Drosophila melanogaster: one gene and its partners. The protein of the gene in region 1 purifies or fractionates together with the protein of each later gene. This does not show direct contact. Each region holds a gene or a part of one and is shown in the gene's direction. Other genes may lie near its edges.

Evidence for each region.
Region 2: the proteins of orb2 (region 1) and CG4612 purify together in Drosophila melanogaster (affinity purification with western blotting; 2 studies listed by BioGRID, with this or other methods). This does not show direct contact.
Region 3: the proteins of orb2 (region 1) and Rbp6 purify together in Drosophila melanogaster (affinity purification with western blotting; 2 studies listed by BioGRID, with this or other methods). This does not show direct contact.
Region 4: the proteins of orb2 (region 1) and CG13928 purify together in Drosophila melanogaster (affinity purification with western blotting; 3 studies listed by BioGRID, with this or other methods). This does not show direct contact.

What each region holds. Positions count from the first base shown.
Region 1 is NT_037436.4:8,949,709-8,955,260, reverse strand, and holds the start of orb2 (orb2), read left to right. Parts: upstream 1-2,026; 5' UTR 2,027-2,442; intron 2,443-5,501; 5' UTR 5,502-5,552. Other genes in the region: GNBP3 (Gram-negative bacteria binding protein 3), read right to left, coding at 1-235. UniProt on the Drosophila melanogaster protein: RNA-binding protein involved in translational regulation and required for long-term memory. Required in mushroom body gamma neurons for long-term memory in male courtship. Binds to mRNA 3'-UTRs.
Region 2 is NT_033778.4:24,521,105-24,528,646, reverse strand, and holds CG4612 (uncharacterized protein), read left to right. Parts: upstream 1-2,557; 5' UTR 2,558-2,932; intron 2,933-2,995; 5' UTR 2,996-3,174; coding exon 3,175-3,873; intron 3,874-4,104; coding exon 4,105-4,329; 3' UTR 4,330-6,773; downstream 6,774-7,542. Other genes in the region: Brca2 (BRCA2, DNA repair associated), read right to left, coding at 1-1,410, 1,470-1,541, 1,602-2,346; Ir60d (ionotropic receptor 60d), read right to left, coding at 7,500-7,542.
Region 3 is NT_037436.4:17,234,944-17,240,459, reverse strand, and holds the start of Rbp6 (RNA-binding protein 6), read left to right. Parts: upstream 1-2,247; 5' UTR 2,248-2,628; intron 2,629-4,397; 5' UTR 4,398-5,022; coding exon 5,023-5,108; intron 5,109-5,516. Other genes in the region: Afg3l2 (AFG3 like matrix AAA peptidase subunit 2), read left to right, coding at 1-1,349. UniProt on the Drosophila melanogaster protein: RNA binding protein that regulates the expression of target mRNAs at the translation level. May play a role in the proliferation and maintenance of stem cells in the central nervous system.
Region 4 is NT_037436.4:1,625,291-1,630,792, reverse strand, and holds CG13928 (uncharacterized protein), read left to right. Parts: upstream 1-2,415; 5' UTR 2,416-2,843; coding exon 2,844-3,581; 3' UTR 3,582-5,002; downstream 5,003-5,502. Other genes in the region: GC (gamma-glutamyl carboxylase), read left to right, coding at 5,132-5,502.

The sequences.
Region 1 (5,552 bases):
CTTTGACAATGTCCCGTGCCCAGGTGCCAGCCTCCAGGCCCTCCATCTCCTCATTTAGTTTGCCATGGAAGGCGAACAGGGTGATGCCCTCCTCATCGGGAATTGAGACCTCGAATCCCTTGGGATAGAAAACATCGATCTTAGCCTTGGGTACTTCATACCCCTGAACGCCAAGGAGCAGGAACAGCAGTTGGAGGCAGCAGCTCCAGGCCACAAAGCGCAATGCATCCGCCATTGTGGGAATACCAATTAAAACTGCGATGAGCGGTCAGACAACTCGGACTTGAAAATCTGAGAATCTTATCAAGAACCGGTCGAGGCTTGTTTGTTAAAGGTGCACTGCAAAAAAGTACACACCGTAAAGTGCTATCGCAGATTCTAAAGTCTAAAGCCTATGTTGAAGCAAGTATGTGCCATCGTAGCTAAAAATAACAATGGGCGATTTAATCAAGAAAATAAAAAGTAAAATACAATAATTTTGGTGTTTTTATATATAAATATCTTTAATGGTAGTATTTTCTAAGTGTAATATTTATTTGAGATTTTTTTGCCAATGTTTAGAGAAGAGCGACAACACTCCCACAAGAAGAATTTGGGATTTACCCAATCACAGCCATTGAGAGTAAGCTTTTAGAAGTATGAGTAAGAATAAAGAAGAACATACGGACAAAATGTACAACCTTCTATTAAAGATGATTTTAGAGATTTTAAAAAGCCCGCTTAATAAACAGCGAAGTTGCCCAACTCTAACGTGTCAGCTGTTTGTGGTATTGTGGTATATCGATAACTTTGCTTGCGGTATATCGCTGTAGTAATAAGGGCATAAGGGCATATCAGTGAAAGATTAAATTTTTTTGTTAATAGTTTCCATTGTTGCCATTAGGTAAATATTTAAACAATACTTCTATTCTGAAATAATAAGCTTCGCCGTGTAGCAGGCGACGAATTTCGATGAAATTCTGAGTCTCGTCCGTTTCCTTGTCTTATTAGCTTTCGTTCTCTCGATAGAAAAATTTGTAGAAAATATCACACACGGGAAAAAACAAAAACATGAACATATTTTTGTAAAATATTTAATTAGCGAGAAGGACACAGCGTACACGTATATTTTGTGGTTTCGCATGTTGTTCGTCAGTGTTTTTGTGCAATTATTTGAAAGATTTGGCCAAACGCGAAACGCAACAGAAAGAGGAGAACACAATAAGACAATAACAAATTCGCAGCGCGTGTGTCGTTGAATGTGCGTGGTTGTGTGCGTTTGTGCTGCTGCCAAAAGAACGCGGATATAAACAAATATCCATTTGGATCGTTGGAGCTGTTTTGTTATTGTAAGTAATGCAGATTTATGTAATTCACTTGTGTGTGTGCTCTTTTTGACCAGTCTTTGTTGTTGTTTCTGCGCTATGAAAACAGCTGTGGCGTTGCCAGACAACATAGCGCTTTATATAATTTTCTATAGGGCTGAATTACACATAATTGCTGTGCTTAGCTTAATTATTACAACATTGGGGCCATTATTTATTTTCCTTGCTAATTACGAGTGACATGTAAAGTTATCGATAAATCGATTGGCTCGTTGGATGGTTTGTTATGGCAGAAGGGGTTCCAAACAACGCACTATAGGCTGAATGGTACCTTTTTGTGGCCAAAACTCCATTCTGTAATTGAGTGTTGTAAATAGCGCTTTTAGGTATATTAGCTGAAACAAAAACTTATGTTTAACTTGAGATTTAAACTGAAAATAGAGAAATCTCAATAAAAAAACGAGTTAATTTAATATAAGGGGCGGTGCCACGACCAGAATTTTTGGTACTATAAAAGATATGGGCTAGTGTCACCCAATGCAAATAACATAAACAAAATATCTCTCCGATTTAAAGTTATTAATTTTGGCCACAAAAAGGTACCATTAAGCCTACAGTGCATCGCACGAAAGCAAAACAAGCGAGAATGATTGATTTTTCGTCGTGCGTCTTCGGGCGAGTGGCAGCTTCGTGGAAAAGCGGGCAGCAGTGAAAACTTTTGGCATCACAGTCGTTGCTGACGAGCGGAAGGGACCGCAGCTCGGGAAAATCAGGAAAGAAAACAACGCGTCAGGGCGCTCTTCTTAAATTTGAAAATTAAATGCAACTAAATAGCGTAAATTAGTCAAAAGTGTAAATAGTTAAAATCGTTTTATAACCAAAAATTACCAGTGTAAATCGCTTATTAGTGCTGTGTTAAAAATAGTTACCGTTGTACGGAAAGAGAGAATCGAGTGCAAAGGAATTTTCCTACGTCACAGGCTGTGCGTTTGTGTGAGTGTGCACCCCCGGAAATGTAACACGCACACTGGCGCAGGAAAAACTTGCACCTGAAAGTTTTCGTCGTGTTTTCCATCTTCGTGCGCTCTCGGCATTCGACATAACACAAAAAAAAATAAATTGAATAACGCAGCAAAAGGTTAGTTATCCGCTATTCAGTGCACCTGTCAAAAATCCTATTTAAAATTCGGACTTATTTGCCCCAGTTTTTATCCAGGGCTGGCATTATCTACCGTCAGCGCGTGTGTATATTAAGTGAGTGTGCGTGCGAGTGTGTGTGTGTGAGAGAGTGTGTACGTAACCAATTGGAACTGGGGCAACTGGCAAATACGGCAACGAATCGGTGGAGCAAAGCAAACGCCGCAATAAACCCCTAAAAAATCTCCAACCCCGTGAAGCAAGCACGAGAAAAGCTGGCTGAAAGCTGCAACTTGGCCCAGTTACTTTGGCTCTAATTGCAGACGTGATAATAGAAGTGCACACAAAGCATAATATTTCCAGAGGGGTGGGTGTGGGACCAAAACCAAAAAGGGGAGAATAAAAAACAGCAGCAGCAGCATGACAAACAAAAACAAACTTCATTTGCCAAGAGCCTTTCAACCAAATTTGTTTGCACACTCATAGCTACAGATAGAGATACAAAGATACAATTGCATTTCAGTTGAAGATGAGCGGCTCTTCCACTTTTCTCGGTTTCTGAGCTCTCGAGTTGGTAAACAAAATTTCGAATTTTTTGGGGTGGCAGGTAGAATAACTGGTTTTATAAATTAACACTTGGCCACATTCAGGGGTAGTTTTTTAATGGGTTTCTTCGTATCACTTTAAAGCATTATCAACAAATACGAGTTAAGATTTACTATTCGCTGCTGCACACCCTAAATGGAAAAACTAAATAAATTTTGAAAACGATACAATAAAGAAATGTTAAATTCAATACCAACTAAAAAATACAGAAAACCAAAGATGTAAAAAAAAAGAAAAACTGATCTAGAAAATAACTCCTTAACTACTGCCAAGTATATTTTGTAGAAGAAGCTGTGAAACTTGGGAAAGTACCCCTAAAATAATGCCCCAATCCTAAGCCGCCGCTCTTTTTGAAGCTGAGCCAAGCAGTCTGTGCTTTTGGCGGCACATTACACTTGTTTACTTTTGAAGTGTGCGTGTGATACGCCTGTGTGTATGTGAGTGCTTCGTGGTGTGTGTGTGTGTGTGCGCTCCATGGGGGCGTTACTGTCTTTGTTGTTGTTATTGCTGTACGTCGTCGTCGTTCCTTCTTCGGCTATTTTTTGGGGGTCGCTCTCGTCTCGTTTGTAGGGCAAAATTGTGTATTGATTATGCCAGTTTTATTTTCCTTTTGTCTACATCCCCAGCCCAGTTTCAAAAACTGGAAAAGTGTGGGGCACCTGCGGTCTGTTTTTCATGCCCGACTGAGCCATTTCATTGGCACAGCGATTTCGTTGTCTCTCCGCATTTAACTAATTAAGAGCCTCTGTCTGCCCATCTCCCCCCTTTTTCAGAACAATAGACGTTTTCCGGTCGCTCAGCCCAAAATGAAGTGCGTGTCCAGGGACAGACGAAAAGCTTTAGAAATTGGATAGTTTAGTGCACTCAACGAAATTTTCAGATACTTTGCATATCTTATTTTTGGACTTAAAATGTAAGAAGCTTAAGAAGAAAACAATACATATCATATGTAAATGCTCCTTTAAGTAGGCAATATTTTGTTCAAAAACAGTTTTTTTTCGAGTATTTTGGAACAATACTTTATTTATGATTAAAATATTTTATTGAATTATTTATAATAATACTTTGACCACATTATAATAGTTTAATTTTGATTTAAATTGCATATTTTGAGAAACTAAACATAGCAATGTGTGGCACCTATTTCCCTCAGTGTTTCTATATGCTGCGCGTATTATATGCAAAACGGGTAGCATATTTGACCGACATCGGGAACAGCGGGCTCTGAAAATCGTTTGCCTCCGGGGGTGGCTTTTGTAATTGGAAAAGCGATCAATTGTAATCCCCCCACCAGGCGGGTTTTCACTTGACTAGCGCTACCAATTTAGAACTCGCTATACCCCATTATCAGGCCATATCTACACACTTTTATTACTCATGCACAAAATACGAAAGGCAAAAGTTTAGAATAGCACTTGTTTATTTGTTATTTTTGGCCCGTCGCTTGCCAAGTTTGCTTTTATCAATAATATGATTGATTGCTGTTCGGTTCCATTGTTTTTTTCTTTCACTTTTTTCCCACAACACGCATTGCACATTTTGTGACCCATTTTATCTTTGGCTTTTCGTTGTTAGCCCGATTAAAGAACGTGAATAGATAGGGAATTTCTTGTTGGCCATAAAAATAGCTCAGTCACATCGAAACGCAATTACCAATGCGCTCTGTGCAAACCGTCAGTTTCTAATAGCCAATTTAGAATTTAAAGTTCAATGGGATATATACATTTATCCCAGTTTTTTAAGCATATGCTTATTTAGTTGAATATATTAGTATTTTAATATACAATGTTTTGTCAGCATATTGGAGTGAAACTATTCACCCAATTTGTAACTTATATTTTCTTATAAATTTTCCTTTCATCGTTAAATGGTAAAATGCTCTGCGAAAATAAATTTTCTTTGAAATGATTTTCTGATGAGCTGGCGAAGATCGTCCAAACGGTCACTGGTAAAAATGTATTAAGGGTTTTAAAAATAGCAAAATAAAAATTAATGTCAAATAGCTATTGCTGCTGCTTTGGTCGCTTTGTTGTTGCTGCCACTGCTGCTTTTTTTTTCGCCTTTTCCCCGTACGATTTATTTATTTTTAAACGCAATTACGTGCGGCTCTAGTGCTGCGATGGCAAATGAGAAAGGGGGGGGGGGGGGGTGTTGTGCGGCGAAAAGTGGGCGTGTGGAGGAGGTGGAGGGGCTCGTTTCCCCCTAACAACACACGCATGACGTTGACATTTCGAAAACAGCAAGTGTTCAGGCCAAAATATGATCAACATATCGCCTGTCTACCTACCTACCTATATACCCGCCTAACGTTTCGTCTTTCTACTTCACTATCTTTTCATGTGCCGCTGATTGATGTTTGGGACACTCGGATTCCGATTGCGCGGCTCCACAACGATTCCGATTTCCACGTGCTCCAATTTTCACATTTTCCCATTTCCCCCATTTCCCATGAAGGGCATCTAGGGCAGCAGCGGAACTGAGGCGCAGCGGAGCCGCCCAAGTGCA
Region 2 (7,542 bases), on another chromosome or scaffold:
TAGTATTCACAGCCTTATTATTTTCAACATTTATTGAATGAATCTCATTGTTTGGAGAGGTGGGTAGAACATCAGGAAAATCGCTTGGCTGCCACCCGTTTAATTGGTCTGTAGCTTTAGACTGGGCCAGAAACATGGCTCCTCTCTTCTCCATCGCCTCGGTAATCTCAATGGCTTTGTTTGACGCTGTTCTAAAGCCGAAAAACTGTGATTCATTTAAGTCACGGCAAACTGGGTCAAGTGTGGGTTGATGCGGTTCCCGCATTGTAGTATCAACGACCACCAACTTGGAAGCTTTCGATCGCATTTCCTCTGAACTCTCTATTGATCTTTTTAAGGCTGTATCAAGTCCAACAGACGTCGGTTTGTCATTTGGCTGATGGACTAAATAATCATTTTGTTGAATTGTTTCTTTGGATTGAAACTCAGCCATAAACTCTGCAGTTTTGATTTTCATCTTCTCAGAAATCGGAATTGCCTTATTTGAGGCTGTGCGAAAGCCACAAAACTCGGGCTCTGCTATAGTATCGTTATTGAGAGGACTGAATTTTCCATTTATTTCTCCAACGTCAACTTTAGCTATTGCATTGTAGGTTTCCTTACCATCCAATATTTCGATGGGCTTGCTTGGGGCTGATTTGAATTCCGCACACTGTGTTGATTCCATTACTTGACTATGATTATCGGAGTATTCCTCAGTACGTAAGTTGCACTTGTGACTAAAGTGATATAGGCCGGATACAACTTTGTCTACAAACTCTTCGCCTTTAATTTTCATTTCTTCCGAAACCTCGATAAATTTGAAGGACTTCTTTCGAATGCCATTAAGTTGATGACTGCTTATGGTCTGACTTTTATTAGGAGTCTGCTTTTCTGGTTGCTCCTTGTCGTCCAGATTTATTGAATTGATGTTTTCTTTAGGCCCTTGAATTGCGTTTTTGGAGGTTGATGGGCCATTAGAGCACTGCATTGGTTGCCAATCATTAAAAAGAAACTCCTCAAGAAGCTCGCCGTCGTTCAATAGGTTTTCTTGCTCTGCAGCATTAGGCTGATCCAGAATAGTAGTTCCTTCGTTTTTCGTGTTAATATCACAAGATTGTTTTGAGGCTCCTCTAACCTTTGATGCATTTGAATCTTTGCTACTTTTTTGTTCTTTCTGGGAACTTGGCTCCAACTTTAACTTTTTATCGGGTATATGTTTGATTACATCTTTGGAGATCTCGGGCAGTTCCATCGGAGTTAGCCATTCACTTAGTGGTATGCCTTCTAATATGAAGTTTGTGTTCTCCTCTATGTCAACATTTTTTGCTTGCGTTTGGCCCATCAAAAGTTTCTTATTTTCAGCAATTTCGACATCAGCTTTTTTCAATGTAGAGTCTGCATCAGACCAAACATTACGTTTTCCACTTTCTATAAATAAGGGTTTATATTAATGAACTTCGCAACAACATAAATTGCATATGAATTACCCAATCGGAGGCGCGTAGTGGGAACCGATTGCATGCTATCGCCATAAATAGTGTCTGCCATAGTTCCTGGACCTACGTACATATAAAAGGAGTTACAAATGTGTTTCTTGCCATATCGATCCCACTCCCTACCTTCCTGCTCATGCTCATTTTCATAGAAAGAGGCCTCAAATGTAAATCCGCTCTGCAACAGGTCATCCCTCAAGTTCTCCAATTCAGCGTTGAAACACTCGTCACCAGAATCCTGCCTTGCTTCGGTTGGCAGATCTATTTGCGATGGGACAGGAGTCGGACCGGAAGCTGTCGCGGTCGCGGAAAAGTATTGACTGAGGTTCAAAAGGACCTCGTGTATCTTCTGTGATGAAGCATCGAAATCACAAGCCATAGATGTGAACGAAGTATTGAGATCCCTCTGCACGGAGAGGCCTGAGGAACCTCTACGCTTCTCGTTTTGAACGGCCTTGTGGCTTTTGGGATCCCTCTTCCGGCTGTAGGTTCTGATCCTTTTGTTGCGAAATCGAAACCACGGCTCCGACTCATGGCTGGGCTCATCCTCATCCTCTGCGTATGTTGGAGACGAGCAAAAGTCGCTCATGATCATCTCGACCTGGTCCTCGGGCGTGGGCTCTGCGTAGGACAAAATAAGATCCTCCACGGCGACGAAGTCGCTGTTGTCCACCGCAAGCCGCTCGTGACCCCGAGTCCGTCGAGCGATGGCGAAAGTCTGGCGATCGGCTTCGCATATTTTGGCCATTTCGTCGATAATGTTACTCCGATTTGCCGCCGCGGAAACTGTGGCGCCACGTTCGCGCGCATGGGCTCCTCTTCCTTGGGATAGCCTGTTCGGATGACTTCCCGATGCGCCATTCTGGTCCATCACGTCATCTAATTGTTTAAATGTGTTTTATTTGAAGTAAGCAAGTGTCCAATGCTTTTGTGGTTGCATTTCCAAAACAAGGGGTGCAGTGTTGGTAAGCGTTGCTTTGATGGCCATTATCCGCTAACTGTGGAGGGTGGACTTGCTAAGCAATCGGGAGCGAGAAAGTCATCGATGGTATGGCCAAGAACATGAAGGCCTCACGTATCGATGGCAGATGCATCGATGTTTTTTAACATCACTAATCACTAGTAGCGACAGTTTTTGCATAAAATACAATTAAATAATAAAGGGCCATCGCCGAAGCTGCAAAAACCAGGTTTTACACTGCTGCAATTGCTGAAGAGTCTAGTTTAGGTGCCACTCGAAAACAATACCGGAAAGTGTTACGCGAAAGCCCAGCAGAGCCCCAAAGAATCAGCCCAAAAGTGAAAGCCCCCAGAAAAAGTAAAGTACAAAAGAGCGAAAGGAAGAGCCAGAGAGGTAAAGAAAGAGAGAGCGAAGAGCGTTGAAAAGAGTCTGTGCGAGAGAAAAACGATTTTTTCAACTCCGCGAATCCTTGGTCATATTCCGTGTGCAAATCCTGGTAAGTGGGCATTCCGCTGGATTACGACTAGATTGGCCATAACGCAGATTCCCGACATCCCAGGTAAATCGGGAAGTGAAGTGAAATACTAGGACCAGGACAAGAACGCCGTCAAGATTCTCGGGCCCATCTACAGCGGTATCCAGATCCAGAGCCACGGCCACCAGGACGCAGAATCCACCTACAGCACCTACAGCACTCCACTAGCCGCCACCACGCTCCACAAACAGCCAGCAGCCATTATGTTCGTCAACTCCATGACGTTCCGCGGCAATCCGGCGAACTACCACCAGCAGCAGCCGGCCCTGAACCACCACACGCTGGCAGCGGCGCACCACCAGCAGCAGCTGCACCACCACGCCGCTGCAGCTGGTCACCTGAGCCACGTCGGCGGTGGGCACGCAGCCAGTAACCACCTGGCGGCCGCCGCTGTTCTCGGACGGCATGGCCACAACTCCCTGGGCAGCGGGCACACGTCCACGTCCTCGCACTCGGCCAATGTGGGCGTGGGAGTCGGCGGGGGAGCTCTGGCTAGCGGCTCCACTGGGGGCAGCGGAGGCAACAGCTCTCCGGACAGTGGCAAGATCTATATCAAGAACCTGGAGCGGTCCATCGACAACAAGGCGGTGTACGACACGTTCTCGGTGTTCGGAAACATCCTAAACTGCAATGTGGCCAAAGACGAGGATGGCAATTCACGCGGCTATGGGTTTGTGCATTTCGATTCGGAGGAGGCCGCCCGAGCGGCCATCGAGAAGGTGAATGGGATGCTGTGCAATAATCAGAAGGTGCATGTGGTCAAGTTCATACCACGGCGGGACCGGGAGCAGGAGAAGGCCACGCACTTCAAGAATCTGTATGTGAAGAACCTCAGCGAGGAGTTCACCGAGCAGCATTTGCGCGAGATGTTCGAGCCCTACGGCCGCATCACCAGTCACAAGGTACGTTGTTTGGTCACCTCATCTTCCCTACGGGGATGTTCGTGGGGCCGGGTGGTTGGACGACAACCATGTGGCACAGTTTTGCACTCTCTTAAGTCCTCTCTTGCGCCATTGCTGCGCATGCCCATGTAGCCACGAGGAGTTTGTGACGGCGGGGAAGATGAGGACTCCACCTGGCCCATCTGTGCTAATTTGTTTATATCATCGATTTGCTTTCTCCGATCCTTGCAGCTCATGCTGGACGAGGAGGGGCGCTCCCGGCGTTTCGGTTTCGTCGCCTACGAGAACCCACAGTCGGCGCTGGCCGCCGTAATTGGCCTGCACGGCAAGCAGCTGGGCGACAACAAGTTCTTGTACGTGGCAAGAGCCCTCAGCAAGGCCGAGCGGCAGCAGGAGATCAATCGCAAGCTGGAGGAGCGCAAGCGGCAGAAGGCCGGCCAGATATTCTACTACTAAGGCTTCGGCGGCGGCAGCTGATCCAAGGACATCGCTAGGAGTTGACTTGGAACCCACACACATACAATACACACCCATATATAAACCTATATAGATATTTACGAGAAATTGTATCGAGCAGCTAGGCGGACATTCAGGCAGCAGACGGACGGGAGGCAGCTCCTTCGCATATACACTTAGATGTAGGCAAAAGTCTTGCAACACAGTTGAAATTTATAGAAAGAACACAGGGCAGAAACAAAGGGAGGGAGAGGCAGAAAACGAGCTCTCAACCGAAAGGATTTTCTAGGCATTAGGACAACAATTTCTTAGCACTCACTAGCGTTTTTTTGGAATTAGATGTTTGTCTTTACTGTTGAATTTAGTGAGCAGGGGCTTTGCTGTCAGCTTCTCGCCTAAAGAACACATTGCGTACACACACGTATTTCGAAATGTATTTACCCACACAAGGCCAACTTTCACACTGGCCCCTTGGCATTAAGTCTAGATCGTGCGATCGCAACTAGAGCTACGCCCAGCTCAGTCCTGGGCAACATATGAATATTTACACTTACCTAATATATATGTATTAAAACCAAACTAAACCAAGAAACAAAGCAAAACGAAAACAAACAAAAAAAGAACAAAAAACAAAATGGAAAAACGGAAAAAATACAATTGATGTAACCCCTATTAACAAGTGAAGCACCCACTCCACGTATATACATAACATATACATATATCTAATGTAACTCCACACGCTGTAGTTAGAAAGCGTTTATAATACTCACAACTCCCTACGCTATAACTAAACTTTTGACGAGGAAATCAAGTGCAACCATTGCGAAAGCGAACCCTACACGTAATTTATAGAGTAGACGCCGATGCGGACGAGGAATAGGTCAGAGCTGGAGAGGAGAGATCCGATATGGAATTAGCAGGGGCCCAGCGCCTATCCTGCGGACAGTACATGAGTATTAAAATTTTAGCGATTACAAGACATTTTTGTAATTAATTGTACATTGTTTCAAGTAGCAGAAACTAAAGTGAAACCACAAAACAGGACAGCAAGACAGTAACGACCGTAATGTAACGTGAACAAGATGAAAGTGAAAAACTAATTGAATGTAACCAATCCAAGAAGAAGTGTACACAGTGCAATGTTTAAATCTTTTAGAATATTATTATGGATACAAGGCACGAAAGAAATCGCAAAATCGAAATAATTCAAAGCACGCTGTATGTAGGCAGGCGTGTGTACAAGTTTGAAATGAAAGCAAATACATGCATAATTTAAGATTATTGAGCTTAATTTTTAAAGTGTTTCCGAGAACAGAAAACGAGAGCAAAGTGAAAAGTAAGAGGAAATTATTAAGATACCCTACAACGCTAAACTCACTCGAAATTTGTAAGATTCAAGTTTTGCGTCTAGACATATACACAATGTATAGTTAAACAGTACCACACACAAAAGAGGAAAATTAAACGACATAAAATAGTTATAACGATGGCAATATTTAGGATGGCATAATTAACGAACCCTCATTTGACCATATTTATTTCCATTACACTTCATTTTGAGCTTAGGTTGCCCGCTCCCCGGGGAGCTGGCGATGTTACGACTCTAGTTTCCAGGACAAAGTAGGATTAGGCCTCCACAGTGTAACTCACACAGAACATATGCAATATGAATTTACAAGACAAGCAGGAGAAATTACGCAATTGAATAATATTTACACGAATGTACAAAACAAAAGAGAAAGAAATGAAATTTATTTTCCTTTGCCAAGCAAATGCAACATACTTCTTATTATTATTATTACGAATTATAATTGTAATCGAACTTCATCTTTGGTAATTGCTTTTGCAGAATTTACCTAAAAACAAAATAAACGAGAAACTAAGGAAAGAAACACCCAAGGATAACCCTTTTATAGTGCTAAATTTTTAGAGTACAAGAAATGTTTGTTCAGTCTCACAAAATTAATTGATAGTCCCATTTCGAGTCCCATTTTGAATCCCACACTCCACACCAAGTTTAATCAATTGTGCACGTTTGCTAATGAGACACCACCATGCCACACCACACACGACACCTGCATTCGAATCTACTCACAAGATCCTAGTTTATTTGAACCTTTGCTTGGACTGGGGCGTTTGTGCCCCTCGAAGTCCGATTTTAATGACTAGCGAACCCACAAGGAGCACAGATAATAGCGACACGGATGGCGTATAATATATGCATTATATATGTAATTCCATTGAAGCGAAATCCTAATTATAACATATTACGAATACCTACTTATTAACAAACCTAAAAACAATCGAAAATGAATAATGAAAAATGAAAAATGAAAAAGAACAAGAAACGGAAAACATTTAACGATGAAAATCAAGATGCAGTGAGCAGAGACATGTGAAACTTGAATAAAAAAATGCTTTTGCAAAAAGTGTTTGAAATTGCGACCCGTCGAGTTCTTAATTATAAACTTGATTTGATTTATCCTTAGTACATTTAAATGGGTGGTCGTCTCAATAGATCCCACTTGAAGCAAGCGATCTCCACAGCTAGCATCCCTATGCCGATCATGGTGCCTCCCAAGTAGGCAATCCAAACGTAGTACAGGTCGTGATAGGGCGATCGTGGTAGGGCGATGGCGCGGGATCCACGGTGTAGTTCAGTTTGTCTCCTCAGCAGAATCCAGGCAAACCAGAGCTAGCATTTTCCTGCTGACTCTTCCTTTAAGGTAGATACTTTGATTAGCATTGAAGTTCAGGTGTGGGTAGCGTTCAAGGTCGAAGTGCTCCCAGCAGACATCGTTCCCTCCAGCGCCTCCAAGGAAGAGTAAGGTTTCAAATGACAGCTCCAGCCTTAGAGAAACAAGGATTTTGTTCAGGTAAAGCACTTCTTGTTGGGCACAAGTGAAGCCCAAGCAAACCACTGTTTGCTATATTTAAATGGAACCGCATCTTAGAAGCAACGACTTCGGCATATTTCTGCAAAAGTTCTGGCTGGGCTGCATTTATAGGGCCGAAACTAGTTGGTAGTTGGGAGTTGGTAATAAATTTCCAATCACGGGCAAGACTAAATCTGTAACCATTAACCCGTGCAAATGAGAGAACGTTTAGCATTCATTCGTGGTAATGTGGCCTTTATTGGTAGTCTGGTTGGGGAGATACGAATAATCCGTTTAGAGTGAGGAGTTCCCCAAGTGCCACCTGTAGTGAGCTACC
Region 3 (5,516 bases), 8.3 Mb from region 1:
CCAAGGCTACCGCCGGCGAGGCGAATGTACCGTTTATTACCGTGTCGGGATCCGAGTTCCTCGAGATGTTTGTGGGCGTGGGACCTTCTCGTGTCCGCGACATGTTCGCCATGGCCCGAAAGCATGCTCCCTGCATCCTCTTCATCGACGAAATCGATGCTGTGGGTCGCAAACGTGGTGGCAAGACCTTCGGTGGCCACTCGGAGCAAGAGAATACCCTTAACCAGCTTCTGGTGGAAATGGATGGCTTCAATACCACTACGAATGTGGTCGTACTGGCCGCCACTAATCGTGTTGATATTCTGGACAAGGCTCTCATGCGACCAGGTCGTTTCGATCGACAGATTTATGTACCAGCACCTGATATTAAGGGCAGGGCGAGCATCTTTAAGGTGCATCTGGGTAACCTGAAAACGTCGCTGGACAAGAACGAGCTGAGCAGAAAAATGGCTGCACTGACACCAGGCTTCACAGGCGCTGACATCGCGAATGTTTGCAACGAAGCTGCTTTGATTGCCGCCCGCGACTCCAAGGATTCGATCGTACTCAAGCACTTCGAGCAGGCCATTGAGCGTGTTATCGCTGGCATGGAGAAGAAGACCAATGTTCTGGCGCCGGAGGAAAAGCGAACGGTGGCACACCACGAGGCTGGCCATGCGGTGGCCGGTTGGTTCCTGGAGCACGCAGATCCCCTGCTGAAGGTCTCGATTATACCACGCGGCAAGGGTCTGGGCTACGCCCAGTATCTGCCCAAGGATCACTACTTGCTGTCCAAGGAGCAGTTGTTCGATCGCATGTGCATGACGCTCGGCGGACGTGTGGCCGAAGAGCTGTTCTTTAATCGCATTACCACTGGTGCTCAGGATGATCTAAAGAAGATCACCGATATTGCCTACTCCCAGGTGGTGCGTTTCGGCATGAACGAGAAGGTCGGGCAGGTCAGCTTCGATGTGGGCCAGGCCGGTGATCCCGTTTTCAGCAAACCATACTCGGAGGACACAGCGCAGCTGATCGACAACGAGGTGAGGTCGATTATCAAATGTGCCCACGAGGCCACCACTAGTCTGCTGACCAAGCACAAGGAGAATGTTCAAAAAGTGGCGGAAAGACTGCTCCAAAACGAAGTGCTCAGCCGTGATGATATGATTGAGCTGCTGGGCCCACGACCCTTCAAAGAGAAGTCAACCTACGAGGAGTTCGTCGAGGGTACCGGCTCCTTCGAGGAGGACACCACTCTGCCCGAAGGCCTCAAGAGCTGGAACAAGGAAAAGGAACGAACGGAGCCTCTGGACGCTGGCAGCACGCCATCATCGCCGCCCACCAAGCCCGTAACTGCCCAGAGCAGTTAGGCAACGATCTTCGCTCATGTGGATGGGGAGTTTTGGTGTGGTAGTTCGAGGGTGCCGACATCTGTTTGTTTTTGTTGTAATCCCTAAACGCGGACCGGAGAAAACCCCGACATGTGGCAGATCGAGAAGGCAGGGCTCAAGGAGTTCCTAGACCTTCTGGAGTTACAGTTCTCCACGACGCGTTCATTATTGTTTTTGCATAATTTTAAGATACCCACATGGATAACTTGTTCCCGTGTTGAGCAATTAAGTGCTAGCCTGTACTAAATTCCCCGTATGCGTAGTTTCAAAATGGCAATAAAGAATGGAAATGACCTGTCAGTGTGGAAAAGCGAAATTAAACGATGTTATCAAGGCGAAAAATAATCGAATCAGTGTTGTTACTGCCTTACGGTTTAAACCCGTTTTCGAAAACAGCAAAAGTTGCAAAATACATACAATGTATTGCTTCATTATGTATATTTCATACAATAAAATGTTATGATAACATTGGAATGCAAAATTTGTTCTTAACTTTGGGATAGCCAGCTTTATTCTTAAGTTGACTGATAGTGCCAGGTTAAAATTTTTTTCAGTGTGAGCTTTTAAAGCTGCACGCGGTTTAAGAGAGTGCCGCTCTCTTCGGTAAGCTTTCTCCGCAAACTTTCGCCGGCTACTCTTCCTCGCTGCGGCTTATCACTTATCAGCTGTGATGCTGAAGTACATGCGCCATGTGCAGCCGGTAAATAGTGCAACTGCCGCAGTCGGCGCCTCTGCCGGTGCAAAGCTCCGTAGGGGCAGCACCAGCGGCAACAACAACAGCAGCAACAGCAGCGAAGGCAGAGAGTGCAGCAGTGCAGTCGACGTCGCTGCCGCCGGTCGTTTTGGGGCCGTCAGTTGGGTTTTGGGGTCTCGCCGCTCAGTGTCGTCTTGTTGGTTGTCGCGTTCGTGTGCGCGCACTGAGAAAAGCGGAACGCCAGCGTTGCACTAACCGTTGCAGTTTCTATATTACTCTCGAGTCGCCCGATTTCAGAGCTGTTCGTACCGCTCGTGGGAGTGCGTGCGTTTTAACCAAAACAACTACCAAATCGCGTACAAGATACCAAACCAATATAACCGAGAGGCCCGAAAGGAAAACCCCTGCTGTGGAGGGCATTTTGCATTTTGTTTACCTCGATGGCTGTGTGGAGTGCAATTTGACGATTATATAATATAAAATACAAAATACAAAAAATAGGGAAAACGAGTAACAGTGCGCGGCATTCGATTTTAATTGCAATCAACTACAATAACCGCTGAAGTAGAGGAGTTAAAGCGCAAACCTCTCCCTCGCACCCCCGCCCTCCCTCTCACTCACACTCACTAACACATTGCGTTTGTGTTGATCTTTCCTGCAAAATGGCTGCCGGCCGGCAAAATAACGGCAACATCCATACTTGATCGATAGAAAGAGAGCGGCAGAGAATCCCTAGCGATTTCATGTTTGATTTATTGGATTTTATTTTTCCTGAGACTTTCCTTTAGGCTTCTTGTTTGATTTCTTAGAAAATTAAAATTATGTATTTATGACAAATGGTGACCATTAGGATGAACAGAACAAGGAGGAGAATTTAATGCTAATGTTTATTTATTTTGTCAAGAAAATTATATTTAAATTTGTTTTGCCATTTGCATTTATTCTGCTTTAAGATAGGAAGCAAAATATCTCTTATCAATTAGTGTAAAATCAATCAACAAACACGTGTATTACATAAAATTTAAATTTGATTAATATTTTCGTTCCTTTTATTAGAGATCTTCGTTGTGATCACTTTTATAAAATGGCTGACATCGGTAACGGTAACTTCGATTACTGATCAATCGAGCGCCCCCTGTCGGCGATTCTCTTAGCTCTGTTTTAGTTTATCGTTTATTTTGTTTTATTTTGTGCTGCCAATTGTCGCAATTGCAATTGTCGGGTCACGTGTTTGTTGCTGCCGCCAGTTAACTTCTGCTCTCGTTGTAACGGTGCATGTTCCCTGTGCGGGTGTGTGTGTGCTGATGTACGATTGTGTGTGTGCGTGTCTGTTCGTGAAAGCTTGCATGCTGCGCGTTATTATATTGTTGCTGGCGTTGTTGTAATTTTTGTTGAGGGAGTCACTGCATGCAATGTTCTTCTTGCCCTTTCGCACCTCCCTATCTATCTATCTCTGTCTTTTTCTATTATTTGTTGTTGCTTTTACTGCTGTTGTGGGTGTGGGAAAAATCAAGGCGCGTATTAAGCACAGAAAATGCAAAAAAGAACACACACAAAATATAGGAAAGCGAATAATTTCGGAGAGAAAGCAACGGAAAATAATTGCTTTAACAAGCAAAAGTTCAAAGCTATAAAATTTGGATGCCAGCATTTTTGAATTTCCGAAAAATTGTTCGGGAAACCAAGGTGTTTCTGGCGTAAAAAAAAGTGTCACTTAAAACCTTTTTAATGTTAAAAATCGTTCAGATTATTTAACAACGATGGGAATTTATGAAATTAGTAGAGAGCTTTTTACTAAATATTTGGAATTTTATAATTATTACACAAGCTCACAATAAGTAAACACGTATACTTATAATTTTTGAAAAACATTTGGATCTTTAACCTTTTATATTTAGTTTTCTTAATTTTTTATGAGACGCCTATTCTAAGAAAATTAATTTGATGGCTCATGCCATATGTGTAAAGTGAGTCAAATTTATTTCAAACAAAGATCTTTTACAGTCTTAGTACCGCATCCCAATTGTCACTCAGCCGTTACTTAACCGCCCCCCTTTTCCCACCCGTTCCTCACCTGGCTTTTCCACGGTTTTCCTCCCTCTCTCTCTCTATCGCTCCCACATCGGTTGCACTTTTTTGCATTTTACGATTGTTCGTTGCGAATCATTGCATTTTAGGGGGTGGGTGGGGGTGGTGCAGCAGCTGCGGATGGGTGGGAAAGCGAGGAGTGGCGAGGGGGAGCGAGTGAAGGGGAAAATTGCATTTTCAAAAGTTTCCCTGGGCAAAGTTTAAAATTGCAATTTAATTAATTTTCACCAAACACAACGAAACAGATCTTTTGCAGTAATATGTTGCCTTCAAATCAATTGGGAAACCAACAACCAAAGTTAACGCAACGTTTCTAAAACTTAAAGTCTAAACAACAAACGAAATAATAGTTACGAAATACACAATAATATTTAAACCAAACCAAAAGTGGCCTGCAAAACGAAGCAACCAAAACAACCAAAACAACCAAGAAATGTGATTCAATGTGTGCAATGTAACCAAATTATAATTAACAAGCTAAATAAAACGATAACTAGAGCAGGAGAAAAGCCGTGGAAAATCAGCGGGAAAGCCAACCAAAGCCAGGCCAAATGGAAAACAAGGAATCCGGCAGCCAATCGAACAGCCAACTAGCAGCCATCGTGGCCAATGATTAAGGGAACACTCTGTTAGCCAACTCGTAGTAGCAGCATCCCCCGTCCACACATAACACCCAGTAACACAGCCACTCAGCCGCACAGAACCACTCGACCTCCCCTCGCATCTCGATGCTCGCACAGAAGGCGTTGGAGCAACAATTATAGAATAGACAGCCAGACGACCACATCAGCTCAGCTCAGCCCCAACTGCAAACTCCAATCACCAGCTCCAGCTCCAACTCAATCTCAATCCCGAGCCAAAACCCCCAACATGGACATCAAGATTGAGCAGCAGCAGCAGCAACAGCAAGTGGAGCTGGGACCCTGTTCCCCCTCGGAGGTGCCCAATGATCCCGGGTAAGTGTGCTGCTCTTATATGTACATGTATACCCTAGCGAAAGGGTATCTCAGAAAGTAGAGAATATATTTTAATCAACTTGAGAAGAAAAAGATTTACTTCGATTTATTTATATTACTTTCGCTCTACAAGCACTAAAAATCACCATCCTTAAAAGGATGTGCGAAATTTATATTTCAGTTCTGTAAATCATAATTAAAATATATTTTCCTAAGACCCTAACTTAGATTTTTCGAGAAAAGGGCATTCAAACTTCGCATTGTCGAGTTGGACGAGAACTTTTTTATTTAGTTTGAGGTCATGGACGTGGCATTAATTGTTTAAGTTTTAAGTTTGTCATTATTGAAGCGCAGGGCGCCGGAAGCGAATGGAGCGTGTCCTGGGGAGCGGTGTCAAGGCAGTTATAG
Region 4 (5,502 bases), 7.3 Mb from region 1:
GTCCATCTCAACTCACCCAGGCACTTCACATGCATATAACCATTAACAGATATAAATCAATATATGTATGTAATAACCAATGACAAATGTTTAGAAGAGTTTCGATTTTTGTTTGGATTTTAAGCAGACCCGAAAAGAAAACAATTGTATACACAGAAACAACACCCATGAAGCCCCTGAGTACGGAGAGCCCACTGGAGCTCCTGGCATCGCATTGCGATTTCCCGGAGTCCTTTTGGGCGGCGGAGTAATTCCGAAGTAATTCCCGTCTACCAAGACGGACACACAAAACAAAGAAAAACTCTATAAGAATCCCCGAAAGCAACAGACGGCTAATGAGAGTATATATATATATGAACCGTATATAAACAATAATATTACTAATTAATTTAATGATTAATTGCACCCCGAAAATACATAATTATTTAAATAAATAAATAAAAACAAAACCAACGTGTTTTCTAAAGCTGGGTAAGCATATTGATTGAAGTAGGTGGGTATTTAAATGAAAACAATAACTTCATTGTTTTAAATATTAATTATGTGGAAATTTCCCAATGCTGACATGTTCTCCAAGCTCGTGAACCAGATTAACTCCCAAATTGGGCGACAAAGGATGCGCTGCCTAAAAATAGGAGCACACAAAAAGTGTAGCATACTATCCAGCGCACTAAACTGCGCACTTGGTCTGCATACATAAATACCAATTGGGGCGCAGACAGCGTGCAAACAGGGTAATGGAAATAGAAACCCGTCTGCGGTGGGGAGCCTACGCTTATGTCAGACAAGTGGGGGAGCACCAGGCGCCTATTTACCACACACACACACACACTTGCCACACCTGATTAAAATCTATTGACAATGCAGGCGACGCGAAATTGGAGCGGCGCTAACAAGGCTCCACAAAGGAATCGATGGCCCCTGCGACGGAACAGGACCAAAGCCGCCCGGCAACCAGCACTTAATGAAACCCAATTACCGCAGGTGTCCGCCAGGCAAATCCTGGCGGCGGATGGCAAACAATAACAGCTGCTGCCGCAGCACCTGCAAATTTTATTTGCATTTTCCTGCCATTCTAACACCTCCCAACTTTTTCCCAGGGGTATATTGGTTTCTATTAGAAACTTGCTATTCAAATAGTTGGTGTTCTACAAATTTTATAGATTTAAATTGCGAGTTCCACTCGTATGTATACTTGATATGTGCTAACATATTTAAAAATCGATTTGAAAAATGCATAATTGTAAGTCCCTGCATTCCTGGTAACTCTGAGGTCTCAACTCGCAGTCAACGAAAAATCACTTGTTTATTGTTATCAACTTCGATGCCATTTCCCGGCAAGGACATGCGCAAACACCCCCACTTCCGCCCACATCACTTGGCCATCATCCCCTCTGCGACACCAAGGATTAGGGAAAGGAAAAGCAGAAGGGACACATCTCCGAGTGGAGCAGAGTGGCGTATAAATACCACGCAGCTCGTGCGCACAGCCTCAGTTGGCGGACCGTGTTGCTCGCGATTCCCTTTTCCCAGTCGCTGCGTCCGCAGGTGAGAGTTCATCCGGGAAACGGCCAACTGTTGCCAGTTGCACTCGGCGGGTGGCGCGCTGCAGGGAGCAGTATAACGGCCCCAATTACTGCCCCAACTGCAGCAAATTACGGGTGTGAATTTGATTAATTGCCTTGAAAAGCGATTGTGAGCAGAGCAGAAGTGACTGTAAGCCGGGGATTTGATATAACGACTTGTATGTAAAGTTGACCCCATTTCCGCTTTAATTGGCCATAACAACACAAAGTAAGTAGTGCTCTTCGTACGATTTGTACTATAAGTAAAGTTATTGCTACTTCCGAAAGCATGGTAGTATTTAAAGTATTATTTTGGAATTCTAGTTCCACATTCAAGGACAATCTATCATATACAATACAAATCTTTAGAATATGCGATTTATAATTATACAGCATAAAAGCGATGCCAAACTACAGTAAAAATGTTATGCTAACATATCATATCCAAGATTATATTATGTTTCATCAATCTGGCCAGTTAAATATACAAATGTATAAAATGTGAAAAAAACATATAACCTTAAAATCACTGGTGTAACGGTGTTTCAATCCTTCTACTGCACACACTGCACTTACCCCTATTTCCAACACTGTCGTGCAGAGGAGCCCCAATCGAGTGGCACTGGGGGTGAGTGCTGGCGAGAACAAAACTGGTTGCCAGTCGGGTCGGCGGCTGGTCAATCATATGGCGAGAATAGTGGTTAAAGCCACCCCTGGCGTGGCAGCTTTATCGGGGGTTGCATGTGGTGTTGGGATTGCACGGTGTGCCGAGTGTATCCGATTCCGACTTCTATTCCGAATCCGAATCGGCGGACCTGGTCTCGAATTCGGAAACGCAATCGGTGGCTCGCGCACAGTCAGTCTGCAAACTTCGGAGCGTGCGGTTGTCAAGTTTCGGTCGTCTGCGTGTTTTCTCTTTCCCGATTTCAGCACTCTTCCCGCACACACACACACAGCACTCGCCACACACACACACACACACGGACGCAGACACAGGAAGAAGAGTGAGAGAGGGTGGAGCGGAGAGGAGGCGACTTTCGCTCGAATTTCTCGCTTGTTGTTATTGCTGCTGCCTGCTGCTGTTGCCGTTGTTGCTGTGGCCGTAGTGTATATACCCACTGTGTGACTCCACAGTGTGCGTGTGTTTTTTCCTGAAAGTTCGAATTCTCTTTTTCCGCCTGCTTGAATCAGACTCGGGTTCGGATTCAGAATCGAAATCGATAGTCACCAACCAACTAACCAGCCAGCCAACTAACCAATCAACCAACCAAAGTCACCATGGCCGACAACAATAACTGCCCAAAGTGCAAAAAATCGATCGCCGCCAAGGAGGCCACGAGCATCGGGTGCAGCGGCGAGGACTGCCGGAGAAGGTACCACCGCACGTGCGTCAACATCGACGACGCGGTCTTCGAGGCGATCCAGAAGAACTCGATGATATCCTTTCACTGCGACGAGTGCAAAAACCAGTCGCCACGAGCCTTCGCGGCCAAGCTGCACACCATCGAGGAAAAGGTCAATAAGGTGTGCAACGGGGTCAACCAGATCCAGGGCCGTATGTACCAGCAGTACTTCCAGTTTGGCAACCAGCCGCTTCAGGCATTGGGCGCCTCGGCCGCCGGCGTGGGTGGCGGCGGCCTGGGTGGCGGACTGGACGGGAAGAAGCATCCGCAGCAGAACAACCTCATTGTGGTAGGAAACAATTGTAACTCCGACCGACTGCAAGTGGTCTGCGACTACGGGCGCTGGGTGCAGGTGGGCAAGTTCGCCACGAACACCAGCGAGGAGGACGTGATCGATCACCTGGCCGAGGAGCTGAAGATCAACAAGAACCTGGTCAAGTGCACCAAGCTGGTGAAGAACGATGCCAACCTGTCGCAGTTGTCGTACTGCAAGTTCAAGATCTCCATTCCGGACTACCGCTTCAACGAGCTCTTCAACGAGGCCATCTGGCCCAGCGGCGTGATGGTCAGTCCCTTCACTCCGCGCTCCCAGCTCAACCAGAATCGCCTCTAGAGGAACGGGCCCGGCAGCCGGGAGAGCGGTGACCGGGCGAGGGTGAAGCAGGAGCATAGGACAGGCTGAGCAGGATGAGGAGGATGAGCAGCTGGAGAGCAGGTAGCCAAGGGAGAGAGTGCGCCTGCGCAGGGAGCGGATGAATGATTACGAGCAGCAGCAGCAGGAGGAGGAGGAAGAGGAGGAACTGCATCGCGGCCTGGCAAACAAGGGTTGCTATACGGACTGCAGCACACCGCGGATTCCCCCGAGTGCGCCGACTTGGGCTGATTGATGGAGCAGCAGACGGAGGAGCAACTATGTGCCCCCATTGTATGCTAATTTTCGACACTCGAAAACATTGTCTAGATCTTTAAAAGCTTACAGAACCTATCTAATGGAAAACCAAGAGCATATTTATTGAATTAACTTTGAAAATGCATTTTAAAATGTTTTAGCGTTGCGTAAATAACGAAATGAAATCGATAAAGAAAACCAAAAGTATTTTAATGGCAAACTCACAAGTAAAATAGATGTGAAGCAAAAAATATTAGTCATTTATGCATTACTGTCGTACTTAAATTAAAGTAAACCGAAAACAAAACGAGAAAACTAAGGAAACCAACTAAACGTACTTAAAGAGACACTCACACACACACACACACACACACACACACCGAAAGCGGTTATTCAGGCGCGTATTTAAACCATTTACCAATCAAACATTCAACCCAGTCAATCCAGGCACCGAGGTTCTCCCTTCATCTTCATTTTCCAACTCACTTCCGGGGTGTGGGGATCCTACGGATCGACCAGACCTACGGAGATTCTACTACGACGCGTGTGCGACTACCTATCACATTAAGTACTTAACCGTAACCAATATCAAAACCTATATTCAAGCAGACGACGGCTTATATTGTATTCGTATATGTATGTAGTTTGAGGCATTTTCAAAGCTTGTTCCTGTTCCCAAAGACGTTTGGACATTTTGCGAACCACTGCACAGGACACTGGCCAGCAGCTAGACCCATTCAGATTCAGATCGAAAGTATATATATATATGCATTTGCGTTTTCGACGGCCGGCACTCCCAGTTGGGATGTCCGCCGGCCCGGATGGCAGTTATCACAGTTACCACACACGTTCCACACGGACAGGACTAGAGACGAAACTAGAGGAAACGAAGCTGGGCAAATCCGTTGCAATAATAACTCACTGACCGAGTATAATGGATGTACATTTCGTAATTGATCTATTTTTTTACACCGATCCGACAGCAATATTTTCCGTGGACTCCACGCCAGCGATCCGAACAGAACCGTAGATATTTACGCAAGAGTCAGCAAACGAAATGTAAAACACATATATTATATATTTAGTATACAACAATATGCATGCATGTATTTATGTCAACTTTTTCAATAAATTCTACAAAACTTAAATACCAAACAACCATTCGAGGGGATTGATCTTTGGGTCATCTATGGGCAGATCTGTAAGGATAACGTTTACTATACTTGCAAAGGACGTGTTCTTTCGCATTCTTTACAGATTCAAGATTCAGCAGAATGGCCAACTCCAAGCGAAAGCTGCCCACGAAACCCAGTGCCACAGAGGACGCTACTCCGCACAAAGATACACCTAGGTCGTCGGAAGAATTCCCCACAGATGTAAATCACAAGAGTGCCAAGAAGTCCTTCCTTCCTCAAAACGCATTCTTTCGAGATTGCCTCGGTCACGATCTGAGCAACTTCACTAGCCTGACCAACTTTACCAGCTGGCTAAACAGACCCGTAGATGGAGCTGCCCTGGGCATCTTCCGTCTGCTCTACGGAGCAGCCATGCTGATTGACATCGCAGAGGAGCGAGGTGGCGGCCAGCTGGACGTGCGGTTTCAGGAGCCGCTACACTGCCACTTTCCACTGTTCAACGGGATGCG